2 linked regions of the Astyanax mexicanus genome follow. The protein of the gene in region 2 interacts with the protein of the main gene of each other region in a biochemical or structural test. Links are inferred from orthologs where the notes say so. Each region holds a gene or a part of one and is shown on either strand. Other genes may lie near its edges.

Evidence for each region. The genes of interacting proteins can lie anywhere in the genome.
Region 1: the proteins of anapc2 (region 2) and pttg1 form a complex in vitro, tested with the Homo sapiens proteins (2 studies listed by BioGRID, with this or other methods). The link is inferred for Astyanax mexicanus from reciprocal best matches to the Homo sapiens genes ANAPC2 and PTTG1.

What each region holds. Positions count from the first base shown.
Region 1 is NC_064417.1:50,019,810-50,030,424, reverse strand, and holds the start of pttg1 (securin), read right to left. Parts: upstream 4,223-10,615; 5' UTR 4,067-4,222; intron 1,994-4,066; 5' UTR 1,985-1,993; coding exon 1,897-1,984; intron 1,108-1,896; coding exon 956-1,107; intron 843-955; coding exon 767-842; intron 1-766. Other genes in the region: gamma-aminobutyric acid receptor subunit pi, read right to left, coding at 6,202-6,531, 7,408-7,601, 8,669-8,821, 8,995-9,132, 10,182-10,264. UniProt on the Homo sapiens protein: Regulatory protein, which plays a central role in chromosome stability, in the p53/TP53 pathway, and DNA repair. Probably acts by blocking the action of key proteins.
Region 2 is NC_064408.1:19,790,666-19,800,906, forward strand, and holds the start of anapc2 (anaphase-promoting complex subunit 2), read right to left. Parts: upstream 4,679-10,241; 5' UTR 4,493-4,678; coding exon 4,382-4,492; intron 3,422-4,381; coding exon 3,166-3,421; intron 2,979-3,165; coding exon 2,654-2,978; intron 2,434-2,653; coding exon 2,301-2,433; intron 1,746-2,300; coding exon 1,544-1,745; intron 1,117-1,543; coding exon 997-1,116; intron 519-996; coding exon 401-518; intron 44-400; coding exon 1-43. Other genes in the region: ssna1 (Sjoegren syndrome nuclear autoantigen 1), read left to right, coding at 6,437-6,488, 9,032-9,231. UniProt on the Homo sapiens protein: Together with the RING-H2 protein ANAPC11, constitutes the catalytic component of the anaphase promoting complex/cyclosome (APC/C), a cell cycle-regulated E3 ubiquitin ligase that controls progression through mitosis and the G1 phase of the cell cycle.

The DNA.
Region 1 (10,615 bases), on a different chromosome or scaffold from region 2:
TAGCTTATAACTCAAAGGAGTTTAAAATATCTGTGCGTGGAGTATTACGAACAGTTTCATTTATATAAGCAATAAAAGCAATAATAAGCAATTTATACCAAAATTGATAATTACATAAACATTTAAGAAGGCCAATCATAATTTGATTTATTTCAGATGTTTTTTTTTTTTGTTTTTTTTTTACACCAGAAATAACAGCAACACATGAGATTTTAGACTTCTCTTTAGCTTTTTTTTTTTTTTTTTTTCCTTTAGCATTAACCTTAAAGCACTCAAATATTCTGTAAATAAAGTCAGATGAAGGAACAGAGTCACACACTGCTCTAGTGATGTACTCAGTATGTGTTATTTAAGGACTTGAGCCAAAATGAAAAGACAGTGAGTGTAGGAGCACCAAGTTTGTGCTGGAGATAAAAGTGGCTTCTTTTAACTGTGTTCCCTCATTTTCTGATTAAATTTTAAAATTGGCATCAATATAAGATCTGGTATCTTATGCATTAATGGGTTTTTGACACATGCATCACTACATGCTGTATTCTACAATGCATAATAAAGCAACTACACACTTGCAAAGGGCATTAAAAAAAATACAATTAGAATTTTCAGGTATAGAAACGTAAATGTCAGATGAATAAGATAAACCCAGTCAGCTTAAACAAAGTCAAAATATCAGCTGATTTCATCAAGACAAAATCCGAGGCCATGTACATAAATTGATAATTATGGTGACCGGCCTAAATATAACCAGTCTGCAAAAGAAACCTACCACTGGGGTTGTACGGGAAAAACTTCTCAATTTCAGGATAATCTTCACCAACAGGCTGAGAAGGAGCTTTGCATTGCTGGAACAAGGAAAAAAAAAGGAGGAAAAAGAAATTAAAATCTAAGAATTCTGCAAATAACTGATTCTGCACTGAGATTTTATATATAAAAAAAATAAAAACAAGTAACCAACCTGGGCTTCAACAGGTTTAACCTGCGCTTCACCTTTCTGAGAGACTGCTGAGGTGGACACAATCTTGTTAACTGTTCCCAAAGCTTTACGGGCCGACTGTACAGATCCACCAAGACGGCTCTTCAGGTGTAGAGGAGTTTTCAGAACCTGTTCTGTAAAAATTAAAAAGGAAACTGATCAGGATCAGAAAAGGAATCAGATCAATTAAATTCATTAAATGTGCATGTGTGACACACTAAGGGCTACAATACATGAATTATAGGAGTGACCGTATATTATCCTTTATTATCTATTATTTAAATACTGCAATTTGGTAAATACAATACATCCAATTATTTTAAATAAGTTAGACATATGACTTTAGCATCCAGGCATCTGTACAAGGTTGCATAAATCATAAGTCTAGTGCTGTTAGACAGCCAGTGTTGTTTATTTAGCAATTTGATCAGTAGATTTAGCAACTTTTCAGACCAATCTTACAAATTATATATTATATTATATTATATTATATTATATTATATTATATTATATTATATGACCTTTAACTCTCTGAATTGAACTTGTGGCATTCTACCTAATAGATTAATAATGGTATCTATACAGATATCTATACAGCTTAATCTATCAATTAAAACAAACAAATAAACAAATAAATAAATAAATACATCTCAGTAACTCAGTTTTTCGGGAGTTAAAGTGAGGTTTTGGGTCCCATTTTCACACACTGTAAATTTGATACTCAAGGAAACATTTAATGGATTAAAAGGTTCCCTTAAGAAAGCCCTCAGATAACTTCTTAGGCAACACACTTATCAACAAGGGATGATCATTAAGAGCATTAAAGCCTTTCATGCAACCAGGCACTGGTCCTTGGTGTTGTTACTATAGTGAGCAAAATTTCACTTTATGAGCACTTCATTCCCAGGTGTATCTAAGCTCACCAGGTGCAGACTGAAGCCTCTGTCGAGATTTGAGGTTGGGAGCGGTGAGCCTGCCGTTTTCTTGGTCGAGGTAAATCATGGTATCCATGGTGTTTCACTAAAAGAAGAATATTTAAAAGAAATACTTAGAACAAGTGAACAAATCACAAAAATTAACTACAATAATTTCTGAATAATCTAGCCAGCCAATATTTTTACCTTTAAATAAACACTGCAGTAGCACGGTTTGACAATGTAGCACACATTGACAAGACACCGGTTCTTTTTATTCTTGTAGTTATTATTTTGTTATGTTTATTAGTTTCAAAGTAATCGCAAAGTACAGGAAAACAGCACACATATATACATATATATACATACATACACACATACACTGTATGTATGTGTGTATGTATGTATGTATGTATGTATGTATAAATAAAGCAACTTCGCTACTAGTACTAAAAGACTATATGAAATAAGACAATGTTAACCTACATTTAAATGTTATACTGCCTTGTCCCACATTTCATAGTATAAGGCACACGTTGGATTAAAATAATGGACATAAAGGACACTTCTTCCATTAAAGAGTTTTCCCATACAGTTAAAGCTGGCTGTGGCTCTTTATGTTATGGTCTTGCCTCTACGGTGGCCGAGAAAGCCCAACGCAGTGCAAATTGAAAAGCGCTGCAAAAGCACAAAACACATCCATCAAAATTACAACACAGGCGCTGCAACTAGAAAAACGCGCTGCAAATAGAACCACAACACAACGGAAGTGAGTCACAACACAACGGAATTTTCCCGGGGGACCTTAAAAGATATACCAGCTAAGCTGCGTCTTCAGTAACGTCTCGGACTTCACTATGTGTACAAAGGACAATAAGTGGCAAACAAGGCGTTTTGTGAAGCAGAACTTTTAATAATATGCACACAACCGTGGTAATCACAGGTAATAAACATAACTTACTTTTCAGAAGCTTGTTTGCCACTTATTGTCCTTTGTATACAGCTGGTACAGCATCTTTTAAGGTCCCCCGGGAAAATTCCGTTGTGTTGTGACTCACTTCCGTTGTGTTGTGGTTCTATTTGCAGCGCGTTTTTCTATTTGCTGCGCCTGTGTTGTAATTTTGATGGATGTGTTTTGTGCTTTTGCAGCGCTTTTCAATTTGCACTGCGCTGGGCTTTCTCGGCCACCGTACTTGCCCCATGTGTAGTAGGTTAGCTACATCTTAACTAGGCTATAAGTTCGAGTAAAATGAACATTGTTGTTTTATTCTATAAACTACGGACAACATTTCTCCCAAATACCAAATAAAAATGTTGTCAATTAGAGCATTTATTTGCAAAAAAAAAAAAAATTGAAATAGCTGAAATAACAAAATAAAAAGATGCAGAGCGTTCAGACCTCAAATAATGCAAAAAGAAAAATACGTTCATATTCATAAAGTTAGGAGTTCAAAAATTATTATTTGGTAAAATAACCCTGGTTTTTAACCACAGTTTTCATTCATTTGCATGTTCTCCTCCACCAGTCTTACACACTGCTTTTGGATAACTTTATGCTGCTTTACTCCTGGTGCAAAAATCTATTCAAGCAGTTCAGTTTTTCAGGTTTTATGGCTTGTGATCATCCATCTTCCTCTTGCTTATATTCCAGAGGTTTTCAATTTGGTAAAAATCTAAGAACTTATTATTTTTATGTTGGTCTCCTATTTTTATACATTTTTTCGTTCTGCTGGAAAAAAAAAAATCCCTGATGTGGGAATAATAAAGTCAAATTTAGCTATGTAACATATTAAACGTTATCTTAATATATGACTTTCTCTAAGAATAATGATTTTAGGCTTTAAGTTACATCTGTATGTAAACTTAAAAGTAGTAACGTTAGCTAACATGATTTTATTGTCTGTATTAATAGGCAAGGAAACTATTTTTTACATATAACTTAAGCTAGTTTGTTTACAGACTGTCTCAATTTAAAAACAGAGAGAATATTGCTGGAAAAATGAGGTAAAGTCATCTAAAGTAATTAAATAATAAGTTAATAAGTAATTAAGTTTATAGAGATACTACGTTAACTGTTTCCCACTAAACTCACCCAGAATACACCTCAAAAACACTCAATAACAGCATAACACACAGCTACACACATCAACACGATGATAAACTATGTCTGTAAACTTACCAAACAGCGGATAATCCCCGATAAAGCGCAGAAATTTCGCAATAAATCGCAGTTTTCTCTCTGTAGATTAGTCAGGTTTCTCTCAGTAAATAAACGGACTTGTTTTGGTTTCAACTTTCCCGGTTTTAAACCCCAACTCGCCTCCTGATTGGCTGCTGCTCCGCCGCTCTTCCGCCGCGCTGTGTTCAGCTCTGTTTATTCTGCGGTGCTGCCGCCCTGGGGCCAGATCACACCACTGCGAGTTTATACAGCCATTATATACCATAAATTCTATTTATTATATTAATAGCAGAAATGTGTTCTTTTAAAGTAAAAAAGCATACCTGTCCTGATTATTTTTTTTTATAAACATTTACTAACCTTTAAAAAATACGGACGACAAAAAAATGACATACGTATAAATAAATAAATGCACATATATATATAACATGAATAAATATATAAAAACATGAACACACGCATAAATAGTTGTAGAGATAAATAAATTAATAAATACATGTTGAAAAACGACACACTTAAAATTATAATTAATTTTATAATATATCATTTTATAATTAAATAATTATTTCCATATTTTAATGCGTCAATATTAATTTATTCTACATTTATTTATTTGTTTCAACATTTGAACATTTATTTATTCATGTATTTCCACATTTCTTCATATATTATTTATTATTTATTTATTTATTTATTTATTTATTTCCACTTTTCATTTATTTCAGTATTTCTGCATTTGTATGTTAATTAGGTAGCTCTAAAGCAGGATTGGTCAACTGCTGAATCAGACGAAAGCAACTGGTTTCTTACTGCTCTAATGCAAATGAAACGCAAATTGAAATAAATTAATTAATATATAAATAAAAGCAGAAAAAAATAAATAAATAAATGTAGAAATACGTAAATTAATAAATCTATAAATACATAAAATGTATTTATTAATTCATGTATTTATCTATACATTTATTTATTTATTTAATCACTCCTTCATTTATATGTGCATTTGTTTATTTATACTCATGTCAGTTTTCATCCTCCTTTAAAAAATGCTTTTACTGTGGTAATTTCCGCAGACACATCACAATATGCAGATCAGTCTATCAATAATATGACCCCCCTGCTGACATCCAGAGGTTTCCTGCTGCTGCAGCTCAGCCAATCAGCTCTCCCTCCTGCCCCACCTCTAAACCCATACATCACTCAGTGCCCCTCCCAAACTTCCCCTCCCATTTTTTGCCTTTTTTAAATTTAAGCTGAGGGTGAAGTCAGCAAAAATCAGAAGGTTAAGTAACCCTTTAAACACCTGAAATAAGAGTCAGAAACGGCAAAATGCAAACAAAACTGCCATAACCGCCAATATTCAGCATATAAGCAACATTACAGCACCAATCAGCTCACAGTTGCAGTAATGCTACTGTACAAAAAATGGAAAAATACAGGTATGTTTTCTTTGATTATTTAGAGAAATACATAAATTTACTTCCCAAAATTAATGAAATACATTAGATAAGTAGTTAGTTACTATTTTTAAATAAGTGCTTAGCATTTAAGCTCCATTCAACAACATTTAACTCATTGGTATGATTTTCTGTGATAATAATGGAGATGGGAAATGGGCAGTTTCTCTATAAACCGTCTCTGGGTGAAAGTCAATAAAACCCCAAAAATTCAAGCAAACAAACAGTAAGTCGATTGATAGTTTAATAAGTATTAATAAATGAATCATATTGCAGCCTATACAGAAGTGCACAAACAGCATACACATGGAATTTATCAGCCAATAACAATCAGATTCCCTATGCTCAATCTTGCAATAAATAAATAAATAAATAAATAACTGTATACATTTTTAACGATGTAGAAACATGAAGGCCATTATATATATATATTATATGGAAGCCAACAACAACAAAAATACTGAATAGTCACTGAATTTTTTCCTTTGTGCTTGTGTTTGATTTGTGTGATCTGTTGTCTACGTTGTCGTCGTCTGTTGTTTGAATGGACTGCTGGTCCAGTTCAGCATTACAGGGCACTTAAAGACTTAAAGAGTGTTTTCAGTCGTGAGTTTAGTCCTCGGAGTCGCCGGGTTCACTAGGCCATTGTGCGTAGATGAGTCCAGTGCGTCTGTTTGATTAGATGAAAAGGTAATACAGCCAGTATAAGATGTTGACCAGGAGAAACGCCACAGGGAACAGGGTGCGGGAGTGGCGGTCGATGTTGTGGGGGTTCTCCACGCTCATCATGGACGCCGCCCTGCGCGACGCCTGCTTCACCGAGGACAGACCACAGCCGTTCCCCTGCTTATTCTCTGTTTGCTCGTCTCCCTCAGACTGCACAGACTGCACAGACTGCTCGCTCATCTCTGGCTGTGTTTCTTTGCTCAGGGCTTTGTTGGGTGTGGTGGACGTCACTAATTGGATGGTGCCGTTTCCATTCGACTCCTCAAACTCCTTCAGAAGCTCCTGAGACAAAGTGAATAATATAAGTAAACAAAATTGTAGTAAGTTATACTTTAAAGCATTGAATTGTCATAATAAAACAAATGTAATTGTCATTTTTAATGGTTTATGTCTTTAAGAAAAAATAGAAAATACTTGAAAAGTTATTTTATTTCAATAATTCAGTTTAAAATGTGAAACTCATATATTATATAGATAATACTATTACCCACAAATGTATCTATTTTAGGCATGTATTTATTTCATTGTTGATGATTGTGCCTTACAGCCAAAAATAAAATAAAAATGATTATTATATAAGACCAATTTATACTTTTTAGCAGTGTGGGCAGTGTGCCAATTCCTGCTGGAAAATGAAATCCGCATCTCTATAAAAGTTGTCAGTAGCAGAGGGAAGCATGAAGTGCTGTAAGATTTTGTGGGAAAACAAAACTGCACTGACTTTAGACTTGATAATAAAACACAGTGGATCAACACCAGCAGATGACAGACATGTCTCTCCAAACCATCACTGATTGGTGGAAACTTCACACTAGACCTCGAGCAGCTTGGACGGTGTGTCTCTCCACTCTTCCTCCAGACTCTGATCTCTTGATTTACAAATGAAATGTAAAATTTACTGATGATCAGTGATGGTTTGGAGAGACATGTCTGTCATCTGCTGGTGTTGATCCACTGTGTTTTATTATCAAGTCCAAAGTCAGTGCAGTGTTTTCCCAATTGGTGGTATATAATGTTAAAATTTTCTGAGACACTGATTTTTAGGTTTTCATTGGCTGTAAGCCATAATAATCAACAATAAAATAAATAAAGACTTAAAATAGATCACTCTGTGTGTAATAAATATTTATATATGTAAAATATACACAGAACACTTACCCTCTGTACATCTAGAATAGTTTGGTGCTGCATGGTGCAGAAATGTGCACAGGCGTACTCCAGCAGAGCTCCGAAGATGAAGGTGAAGCAAATACCAAGATAGACATCTATGGCCTTGATGAAGCAGTTGGCGTTGGGCAGTGATGTCCTGGCACCCATCATCAGAGTCGTCATCGTCAGAACTGTGGTCACTCCTGTGAAAAATACATATAATAGATAATAGATCACCAACTCTACCTCTTCACAACTTTACAACTGATGCTCTCAAACACTTTAAGAGGCAAGAAATTGAAGTAATTAACTATTGATGAGTTCGGCACAGCTGTTAACTGAAAGCCTGAAATTCTAGGTGATCATCCTCATAAAACTGACTGAAATAAAGGGTCTAATTTAAGTTAAAATGTAAACATTTTTTACAATTTTTCATTTATAAAATAATTTCATATGTATTTCTGGTAACACTTTATTTTAAGGAACACAAATTAGGCGCTTATTAATGTCTTGTTATTTGCTTTAATTAGACATTTGTAAATTATTTATTCACTAATTATGAGGCTTTATTCTGTGTCATAAGTGTTATTGGTGCTGAATTAGGGGTCTATTATGTGGAAATTATTAATAATAGCTGTATTATTTCTTATAGTGCACAATAAACAGTTATGTCAGCACCCTGTTAATCAGATTATTAAGCATTAATTATTAGCTAATTCTACATGTTATTAGTGTTATTATAATTGGCAGCAGTTTGATCTATGTGAGTTTATGGTAAGGTTATGGCTGTACTGAAGTTTATTGAGCTATTAAGGGGTTAATAAGTCAGTAATAGACCAAGATGTGCACCATATTGTAAAGTGAGCTTCTGTTCATCACTAATTACACGCTAAAAAGAACTGAATAAATATTTAATCAATCACAGACCCCTAATTAAGCACCAATAACACTTAATAACACAGAATAAAGCCTAATAAGTAGTGAATAAATCATTTACAAATGTCTAATTAAGGCTTTATTAAGCAAATAATAACACATTAATAAACGCCTAATTTGTGTTCCTTAAAATAAAGTGTTACCGTCTTTCTTAATAGTTTGGATGATGAGTATTAATCTGCAATTCAGAAAATGTAAAAATAATAAAAACTTTTGACTGGATTTTTTTTTTTTTTTTTTTAAGCAACCGATATTAGCTTTAAGAGGAGTTTATATAGGTTGCTTTAATTTATTTAAAAATGGCAAAATTAAAAAGGAAATGTAAAAATCTCACCTATACAGGTTCGAGCAGGAACTGAGGACTGGCTGATCCAGAAAGACACCCAGGACAGAACCACCAGCAGGGTGGACGGGACGTACGTCTCCAGGATAAAGAACAGAACGTTTCTCCGCAGAGAGAAGTGCAGCACCAGCTTCGGGTAAGAACCTGCACACAGAGTCAATACAGTAACGCTGAATATTACCAATACACAGCCACAGTGGAACTGACTGACTGATTAACTAGTTGATCGATTAGATGGAATAATCTACATCATACAGACTCATTTAACTGTAAAAATGAATTGAATTAATGAATTAATGATGAATAATTCAGTTTACCTGTTTCATACACGGCCTCAGACACAGTGGTGTGATAGCTCTCTACGCTGTACTGAGCCAGACGGAGTGTGTCCAAACCCTTCACAGAGTCATTCCCTCGAGTCCAGTAAAACACCACGTCCTGCAGATTATAGCCCCCTAAACACACACACACACACACACACACACACACACACATAAAGCTTATAGTCACTGTTGGAACATCTTTTTTTTATTTTAAATTAATAGTGGTCCTGTTTTATTAAAGACGGACCAATAGAAATAACCCTAAATTACTTTTCGCCTTTTCGCCACTTAATTACATTTTCTTATAACTAAATTCTACACACACTCAACACACACCCGTGAGAAGAAGCAGCCAATCGTGCACAGCATACTCTCAACCGGAAACAACCGTATACCAGGCACTGAGGAGCCAAAACATTCATTGTCAATTCATGTCTGGGCATACAGTCACACACACATTCACACATCAGGGCAATTTTTAGAGTATTAAATTTTGGGGGAAATTTAAAATATGATATTTACATGATCCCCATCCATATAGGGACTTGAACCCAGGACCTCACCACTGGAAGGTGAACATGCTAACCACTAAACCACCATGTATTAAAAGTTTCAAATATTTTTGGAGACACTTTGGGAGAATCTGCAGGTTGGAAATAAATCATAAATTATATGCAGTGTAAAATTAATGATTTGCATTTTTGTAGTAAAAAATACCTTGAAATGCCTATGAAAAGTTCACTATTAGGCATTAGGCCTTGTTAAACCAATGTGTTCCTTACTCACAAGATAACACCTCACCACATATATATATATATATATATATATATATATATATATGTGTGTAGGTGTGGGTGTTCTTGGGCCGTCTCCTGAAGATGCACTTCCTGAACAAGTTACATACTGCTATTCCATGACTTTTGGCATGCCCTTCTGCTGTCAAACTCAATAGAACTAAGCCTAGTTAATAAGTGATGCTTTGTTAAAGTTTTAGAAGTCACCAACAATAGCCAAAAATAAAATATCAAATATAGAAAAGAAAATATTATTAGCTGTTATCATTATTATTACTGATGTTCTTGTTTTGCACAAAATTAATGTACTTAATTACAACAGCTAAATGAGCAAAGATCATCTGCTCTGAGAGTCACAGTATAAAAACTGGCATTACAGACACTCACAGCTCTCCAGCTGCAGGGTACACACTTGTCTGTCCATCGGGTATTTGGTAAGATCCATGTTGCAGGCAATGGTAGCTGTGATACTGTGAGGAGATAAAGAGAGGAACATCATCAGCTGCTTTGTCTCAGTGGAGATAAGAGCTTAAATGAGATCAAAAAGATAAGAATTGACATACCCTGAGCACACTGGTTTATCTCTTTGATTATCAAACCCATTCACTAGGATTCTCCCTGTTGCTAGTACTGCTCTAGACACTAGGAGAGTAAGTTCAAGTGAAGCCAGAGACTCCGCCTCTATTCTAACTGCTACCAACTACTACCAATCATTACTAAACAGCATCACACTCTGGATCCCCATCTCTAATACAGTCATATGAAAAAGTTTGGGCACCCCTTGTAATCTTAATCATTTTTAGTTCTAAATATTTGGGTGT
Region 2 (10,241 bases):
TGTAAGACTGCCCACAATCTGCCGAACTGTGTCCTCACGGGTCCTGCCCACATCAGAAAACAAAGCATTTACAAGCAGAACTCAGTACTTTGCAATGCTGATATGCTAAGAAGAGGAAGAATTACACAGACAATGCCTGAAAACTCTAAATAAATGATATGGTATATTGCATGCTGGCTGCATGCAATTCAAAACATAACATTTCTCCTATTAAAACCAATAGCAAATGTCTATACAGAAAGGATGAAGAAAAATGTCTGAAATGTCATTTCAGAAGTTTTACAGTAAAATGCTGGTAAAAATAAACAGATGAACATTTTCATAATTTCAGAACTGTTCCCCTACTTGGCTTAAGCTTAAAGGTAAAGTGCAGCGGAAGCAAACCGGAGCTAAGTCTAACCTGAGGTACTTGCGGATCGGTTGGCAGGCCACTTGCAGGATGACCATGGATGGGTCCAGTTCTCGTAAAGCTTTAATGGCCGAAATGTATACAGTGATGATGTCTGATGTGTGGACTCCTGCAGTGGCAAGAACAAGCAGAAAACTAGTAGAAAACTTAAAAAAAAAATTAATATTTAAGGTTAATGAGATATAAAATCATGGAATTAGAATGTACTGACTTCAGTGTATCATATTGTGCTGTATGGTTTTCTCATTATGAGTACATATAGAGTACATTTTGTTTATTAGAGTCATTTAAGGAAAATATTTTGGATATATTTAAGCCTGTCAGTATATCACTTTTTGTCTGGATGATTATTTGATGTTCCAGAAATTACTGCCACAAACAATATTATTGTAATTTTTATAATTATAATAGCCTAATAATGTCATTTTAAATCTTTTAAAGAGCAACAACCTTTTAATTATTAAGAATATTTTAACTAAAATATAGATAGAGATATATAGACAGACAGACCAAAATAAAACAATAAATGTGTTTAAATAAGGCCATTAATGTCATTTTCAGTTATAATGCACACCACCACCCCTGACCTGGGTGCAGCAGACGTGTCTCAAAAGCGGACTTGAGTGAGGTGAGCAGTTGCTGTCTCTGATTGGTCCGCTCCAGGCAGAACTTTAAGTCTTCAATGGCAGGGATGGACTCCGGGAAATCTTAAGTAGGCAAAAGAGTAAAAGAGTGGAAAAAATGAATGAATAATTAAAAGACTAACGGCTAGCTTAATATATGAATAAACTCATATGTTACATGAATATATGAATTGTCATTATAGCTACTGAATACTCATATAATTCTTTAGAAATATTATTAATTAATTTAACCATACACATCTTGATTCAAAGTAAACCCAAAAGAACTGTGACAGTCACAGGCCCTTTAAAACTTGTGTAAGGTTTCTTACAGCACTTACAGCATTTACTTTATATACTGAACGACCTGAGAGCATCACAGCACAGTTGGAAATTGTGTGATCAAGTGACCTTATTTACAGAATGTAGGAGTGCTAAGTTAGTGCTTGAGTTAAAAGTAACTATTCTTAAATGTGTATATTTTTTAAAAAAAGGTCATTTGACTTTTTACCTCGAATGATGCTGAAAAGCTCATCGATCCTCATGTTAACGTAAATGCGGCAAAAGAACTGGTGCATGTGGCAGCGCCAGCGTTGGAGGATGGCACTGCCAGGCTGGTCAGGTTTTCCTTTGGCAGCTACAGAATCAGTGCCAGCCTCGTCCACTTCACTGGCAAAGACTCTGCTCAGCCAGCCGAGCACCTGCTCCAACCACTAAAGCACAAACAGAGGACACTAATGTGCAAGAATTTATAACATTTTCAACAATAACATTTTCATGTTACTGTATTTAAAAAAGCTGTTATTTATGTCTCTGGTGTCATTTATTAGGACAGTATAATCTATTAATATAACACAGTTATTATTTAATAATAAAGAGTATAAAAAAACCCTCAAATTTCTGCAGATCTTTAAGTATAGGTTTTCATGGGATGAAACTGACAAAATGACACTGACACAATGAAGAGTAGTCTGTGTGTAGATTATATGACAGTGTATTTATTCTTCCCTCAAAATAACTCAATAACATTTCGTTTAGACATTAATGGCTGTACGTTGAGTTATTTTGAGGGAAGAATAAACTTACACTGTTATATAATCTATACACAGACAAAATGACACTGACACAATGAAGAGTAGTCTGTTTCATCCCATGAAAAGATATACTTAAATATCTGCAAAACTGTGAGGAATAACAAACATAGATTGTTCAGTCCTTAAAACAAAACAACAAATTGACCATTAAAATATATGCCAGAATCCTCATACTTCATTGAAGTCTGCCAGAAAGGAATTCTCATATTCTCCCCGGCACCGCTGCTCCATCCTCTCCTCGATCAGTCGGTGCAGAATGCTGGTCACTGCTTCCGAGCTAACCCTCCCCAAGAGCTGCAGTCTGGATCTGCCACACACCATTATAACAACAACACATAAAAAGTTACATCACAGCACCCAATGCTTGTACATCTGTATGGCAAATTCTTCTTTTCCAGCATGGAATATGTAATCATATTGATGTCTTCTCTTTTTACCATGGTGCTGTAGCAGAACTATATCCCACCCATGTAAATTACATTACACTATATTACAAAACAATGCAATCCCAATATTCCTGCACTCACAGGATGTGGCTAAGCTCCTGCAGCTGCTCCAGGGCCTCCTTGCACCAGCACAGCTGAGGTGGGGTTGCACAGCCTGGACAAACACAGGCCCCGTCAGCCTCCTCTGCTCCCTGCTCCACCTCCAGACCCTCTCCCACCTGGCTCATGTGCACAGAGAAGGTGCGACTGTAGAACTCCAGCACCCTCTTTTGGAGCACTGGCTGAGGAGAAAAGAGGAGGATAGCACGAATGACCGAGAAGGCCCTCTCTCGGAGCCCATGGGCTCCAGGGCCCACCAGACCCCCACGACCTTCATCCTGCCAAGACCCAAGCTGCTCAAGCCCACCTGGAAGTTTAGAAACAGATGAGAAAAAGGAAAGATGATGAACGGTGATGAATAATGAATAATAATAAGGTTTGTTCACCTGCAACTGAATCAGCACATTTCTGACAAAAATTGCAAGCATTCAAGCACTGCAATCTCCATTTGATTTAGAACAGTACCTACAAAAACAGAAGAAAACATAGCTTACCAAGAAATGGTTCAAGGCGCAGCAGCAGAGTCCTGAACGCATCTAGCAAACATCTTGCTCTGTCTTTCTCCTGTGAATCTCCTTTAGGCTGCTCTAAATTACTCCAGAACTCCGGAGCCACATCAGTGGTCAAACGAACCTGCAAGGTCTCCAGCAGCCAGCCCTCCACATACTGAGCCAGCCCTTGTTCACACAGCAGAGCCAGAGCATCAGAAATAGTGTCATCAGGAACTGAAGGCGGTACTGCAGGAGAAACCTACAGGATGCAGATGTGAGTTAATTTTTTTTTTTCTACTATTTTTTTAAACATTGTATATGTGTATACATTTAAGATATAACAATTAAGGGACACGTGAAATTACAAAGTAAACAAAAAAGTGTTTGTCCTCCACAATCTCCTGGTCTAAACCTGATTAACTAAGATGGCAATTTGGGATGATCTGGAGCTTTACAGTATGAAGGAAAAGCAGTAACTATTGTTCAGCCCCTCCAGAAACTCCTTCAAGACGTTGAGAAAACTATTCCAGGTGACTCTCCCTCATAAAGACCCTGAGATTAAAATACTGTACCAAGAGTGTGCAGATCTGTCATCAAAGCTAAATGTGGTACTTATAAAACATATACTGGTTTGTTTAACACTTTCAATTTAGAAAATATTTCAGAATATGTTCCTGTATAGCTTTAATATTGTCTTCAATATTACATTTATAATGTAAAAGAAAAAAAATCATAGAAAGAAAAGAAACACATCACGAAAAAATATTTTGTTAACGCAAAAGTGCCCTGAAATATCGTAATATTTTTGTCAAATAGAGCACAATTAGTTGGGATATATTATTCATTGGCTAATGTGTGTTTGTACCAAGCATCTACATTAACATATACGAATGTAAATATACATTTGCAAGCATAAAACGCTTACACCTCCAAAACTATTAGAATTGAAAGAGCAAAAACTTGACAAAACTTGACTGTTCTTGCATCACAACATATATATAACTGTAAACTGGAGATCAGTGCAGCCAGCTGACCCTGTCTTTGTGCTGTACTGCAGGATGTTTACACTATTAGCAGGCTAGCTAGCTAACCTAGACTGTATGTATCAGATTAAGAATAGCCCGAACTACATTCCTACATCATAATAATAAACGTTACTCAGCTCAGTGATAACCCTGAGGACTGTCAGTGCCTATATATCTGCACAGCAGCAGCTCACCAGAGCAGCGGTGACCGCGGCCCAGGCTGCAGGCAGACCCGGGGGAACCAGCACCGCCCCGCCGTCCTTCATTCCCCCAGCTCCGCGGGTCCGACCACCGCCTACAAACATACAGCCCGCCGTCCCCGCAGCATTTCTACCGAACAGCCCGCGCCCCGAGGTTCTGTACCGCCGTGTGCAGTGATTACAGCGGCTTAGCTTCAGCAACTCGAGCTATACGATCTCCATTAGCTCTGGTTCTCCTGCTGCTGCTGTTTATTTCCGCGCTCTTCTTCAAGCTGCTGTCCCTCAGTGATGACGTCCACGACCCGATGACGCTGAAAAGGCTGTATTTTTTTATCCACAGGAAATTACATGTCTAAATGTGCACACAAAATACATTTTATTGTTAAACACAGTGTCTTGTACATAGACCTACTTGCAAATGTAAGATATGTGACTAAAAACATTCATAAAAACTAATTGGAACACTGAAAAAATACCATTTGTTACCTGTATCCCCACTTATTATAACCTTACCATAAAATATACAGCTCTGGAAAATATTAAGCAGCTCCAACTTGTTGCAAATGTGGTAAAATGAAAAAAGCTTAGATTTTTCTTTTCACAGTTTTTTATTTTACATTTGACTGGGAAATACCTGTATGATAATGAAAGTGAAATGGCAAAAGGCCATTTTAAATTGCAAATGAAGGGTTTTAATTTTGTTTGTAATTTTTGCCATTATATTTTCACACGTTTTGAGAAACAAGTATGCAAAATGGATTTACATCCTATACAACAGTGCTGATCAATCCTTCGGTCTCTATTGAAAACAAAACTGGACAAAATAAAAACTTGATTAGGTAGCTATTGTATACAAGCTTTTACGATTTACAAATGCCAAAGCTATGAAGTAAAACCATGTTGAGTAAAAAAATCTTTATATATTTCTATTTAGCAACCTAGAAAAATGAGAATAGCTTCAGAAAGGAATATTAATCTATTATAAATACATATTTAAATAGATTTCCTGACTAGACAAACCCAGTTTCATGCAAAACTGTTAAAAAAAATAGTTAAAAAAGAAACACTAGCTTAGCCGCGCCCACATCACTGGAAAAAACAAGAGCGTTGTACTTAAATTCAAGGGATAAGATTGTGGAATCATTTGGAGAGTGACGTTAAATATGCTAGAACAATGTATGTGTTAAAAAGAATGATAAAAGTTGGTTTGTTTAAAAAAAATTAAATAGTATAATGTGTATCTATACGAACTGTTGTTTGGGAAGGATTTGATGTTTTTGTTTAGTTTTGTTTTTTTGGTAAATTACTAATGTTTGAAAATATTCTTGGAACAAATGAGGCAGATATTCTAACATTTTTTTTCTTCTTTCTGCTGCATTTGATTTTATTTGTGATTTGTATTTGTATATAGAATTAATTTTGTTTATAATGAAATTAATCAATCTTCTAAAAAAGAATAAAAGCTAATTGATGCAAATGTTATGTACTTTTTATTTTGTATTATTTTTACTGTGTAGAAATGGTTTGTGAAATTAAAGGTCAATATCAAATTTAAAACACAGGCTTCCAGTACAATGGACATAAAAAAAACTATTAGATATTTTAGTTAATTGGATTTAACTGGACGTCATATTAGAGTATTAGATTATTATTTTTTGTGCATTTTTTATTTTATATTTTATATTTATATTTGTATATTTTCATTGTAATATAACGCTGAAAGGTCTGAAGGGGTTAAAGCTGTATTTTATTCCTCTCCAGTCCAGCAGGGGCGGAGTCGCGCTGAACTGCAGTGTCTCCACCCGCCATAAGGCGCGTTATTTCAGGAGGAGAAGAAGAAGAGCTGCAGGCTGAGGTTGTTGTAGAAACAGAAGGAGGCTGGAGTCAGAGGGAGTGAATGGATTCAGCTCAAACTTTCTATTAAGAGTGAAGTTACAGCTGTGCGATAAACTTGTATATACGAGGAGTGTGAGGATTTTAGAGATATCTAACCTATCTTATTTAATCTAACTTTACTTTACTGCTGAGCTGAAACTCAGTACAGTCAGCATGACCCAACAAGGAGCCGCTCTACAGACCTACAACAACGAGCTGGTGAAGTGTGAGTAACTCTACATTAACTCTGTTATATTAATAAAGTCTATTATAGTAATGTAAAACTGTTAAATTAAAGTTCTGACTGTGTTTTACTGGTTGTTTCAGTGACTGTCGGGGTTAATGTTAATGTTGAGCTATGTGAGCTGACAGTTGGTGGACTGAGATTAGCTGAGTTAGATTAAGTAAACTAGGTTAGGTAGTTTTAAGGTAGCTGCTGTCAGACCCAGCCTTACTTTGCAGGCCTTCCATTAAAATTCATGTTATTTAGCTATATATCTTACTATATACAGTACCTTCCAGTCTAACGTTTGTTAAAACATTCCTATATTTATATATTATTTATTTGTATTATTTACTACATTGTAGCATGAGTTATCTTTTACTGAAAAAATACAACATGCTATAATGTTAACAAAATGTGAGGTTTTCATTTATAAACAATTTAAAAAGGCGAAAATTCAGAGACCACTTCAGTTTCTGAATTGGTTTCTCTGATTTTGTTATTTATAGGTTTATGTTTGTGTAAAATGAACATTGTTGTTTTATTCTATAAACTACAGACAACATTTCTCCCATACAAAAATGTCATTTAGAGAATTTATTTGCAGAAAATGAGAAATGGCTGAAATAACAAAAGGATTTAGAGCTTTCAGACCTTAAATAATGCAAAGAAAACAAGTCCATATTCATAAAGTTTAAGATACATTTTTGATGGAATAACCCTATTTTTAATCAGTTTTATGCACCTTGGCATGTTCTCTTCCACCAGTCTTGCACACTGCTTTTGGATAACTTTATGCCAGTCCTGGTTCAAAAATTCAAGCAGTACAGCTTGGTTTGATGGTTTGGGTTGGCCTATATGGTTATATTGATATAATATACACTGCATGAAATAAAATTGCCACCTGGATTTAAGTAAGTAAATGATGTGGGGTTGATGCTGCAGTAGGTCAGGTCTAGGTTAAGCAACAGTATGTGCTGAAAGAATGAGGGCAACTGAGTCCAGACCTTAACCTCATTGAGAATCTTTGGGATGTGCTGAAGAAGGCTTTGTGCAGTGGTCAGACTCTACCATCATCAATGCAAGGTCTTGGTGAAAAATTAATGCAACACTGGATTGAAATAAACATTGTGACATTACAGAAGCTTATTGAAACAATGCCACAGTGAATGTGTGCTGCAATCAAAGAAAAAAAAATTGGTGGTGGTGTTGCCTTTTTTATTTCTTTTTTTGGGCCAGGTAATGTTTACACATGCTTGTTTGGCACACCCCTATACTTAGTACGAGGATTTGCTGTACTATATCAAATAAACTTACACTGTCTGTAACTACTCAGTGTTCATAAAACACTAAAGAACAAAAATCTTATGCATTTATACTACAAACTGAATCATTTATTGCGTATACTGAGTAACAGGTCTTGGAACTAAAATTAAAAAAGGTAGGGTTCAAGAGGTCAGGACAAAGCCAACACACCCACATCCCTCCGTCATTATCACTTTTACATGATTCAGCAAGATGTCTGCTGTGATCTATAAGTAAACAAACTCCCACTGAAGTTCCATTACCTGGACTTTGCAGTAATTAACTGCGTAGATCATGTTGATGCTTTACTTGTCATAGTGTTTGTGGATACTCCTTCCAAAGAATGCATTCAGCTATTTCCAGTTGCACCCAGTGCTGACACAGACGTGCAAGTGCACACAAATATAGCTTGTCTAGTGCCTGTGGAGAAGTATTGCCTATAGAATAGGACAGATAAACATGAACATGTTGGCACCATGCATAAGGGGATGGGATGGATTAGGATGGGGAGTTGTGTGGTCACTGTTCTTGTCACTAAAGGCAATTAAATTCTCACAGCAATGCTCCAAAAGTCTTTCCTGGACAGTAGAGATAATTGTTTCAAAAATTACTTCAAAAAAGCAGAATAAACAAAGAAACAACGACTGAGCAAGATGTCTTCATCGTTTTGGATGTATAGTGGATGTACATTAGGAGTGGGCAATATGGCACTAAAATTATATCATGATATTTTATGATATTTTCGCAATAATGATACTTTTGGCAATATGACAAAACGCTGAATAAAAAAAACAAATATTTCAAGAACACACTACTGCAAAAAAAAAAAAGAAAATATTGTTTTATTATTGAAATTTTATTATTTATTATACAAGAATTTTATCAGATTTGTAACAGAAGTCAATGATCCAGAATGTCATGATATTAATAATGCACTCCAAATATCTCCATATATCCAGGATTAGAGTAAAAGAAATAAATGATACTGGACAGATATAATTTGTCTTTAGTAGATATATAATGGGAAATGAAAGCAGTGTGATTTTTTTTTTTTGTATAAAAACAGTAAAAAAATAAATAAATAAAAAATTGTTATATAATTAGGGGTGGGTGATATGGCACCATATTTCAAGGTATAATATTGTTCACAATTTAAAAAATGTACATGCATTAGATGTGTAAAACCTATTGTAAGAGCAAGTTGTCCATTTATGCTTAATATCACAGTTGTTTCTTCTCAGGTATCGAGGAGCTGTGCTTTAAGAGGGATGAGCTGAATAAGCAGATCCAGCAGGAAGAATCAGAGAAGGCTCGTCTTCAGCACGACATCCGGGTGCTGACTGAGAAGCTGAGCCGGGTGAACGAGAGCCTGGCCCACCGCCTCACGGCTCGAGCTGAATTCGACCGCACCATCGCTGAGACTGAGGCCGCGTACATGAAGGTCAGCATCCAGGCATTTAAAAATAAATAAATAAATACATTTTGTAAATCCTGGACAGTGTTTGAGTCTTATAATTGGCCCAGTAATCCTGGGCCATGTCTACTGTGTGCAGACACTTCTGTGAGAGGATAAGAGCCAGTGAGCCAATCTGACGCAGCTTCTTATTTTGTAAACTGTAGTTGAAAAGAGCTAAATAATATTTATTTACAGTATGTGATTAGGGGTGGGAATCACAGGGCACCTGATTATACAATATTATTATGAGATGTTGCCCACAATAACGATGATGTCACAATACTGTGATTCTGAAATTTTAATGTATATTTCACAGCACTTTGTTACTATATGAAATGGCAGGAATTATGGATTTAATCTTTACTGCAGGTTTACCCTATTTATTTAAATAGCACCACCAGTAACTCAAATTGGGAGCGATTAGAGCACTCATGTTTCAATAGCAGTAACATTTTTTTTCTGGTTATTTATAATTCCTGCAGTATGTAATATATTCATTAAAAAACTGTAGACTGTTTTTTCTTTTTCTTTTTTTAAAGCATGTTGAGTATTTTGAGAAACAATTTCCTTAATTAAATTTATTTTTTTTACGTTTGTTCGACATAATTGTTCTTCTTCTTTCGACAGTGTTTAATAAATAAAAACAATATTTAAATGTGGAATTACTCATTAACCTAACTAATATTCAACTAAAGATTATTTTCTACACTCTTATATGCAGAATCAATTCAGATCAGCTTCATGCGTCAGGTTCAGTCTAGCCAGTCACTTCACAGTTCCAGTTCTCTGCCCCAACACTCCTAATCTAATTGTCAACTGATTTAACAATACTTGCGTACACTGATGAAAGGAAACTGGTCAGGTTAAACTATGGTAAAATGTATTTTCACAAATTTAAATACATTTTCATGATTCACAGTATTTATATTGACACACGTTCAGTCAATATTCATAAGTGATGACAGATTCTTAAAAAACACAATTTAAATACTTTT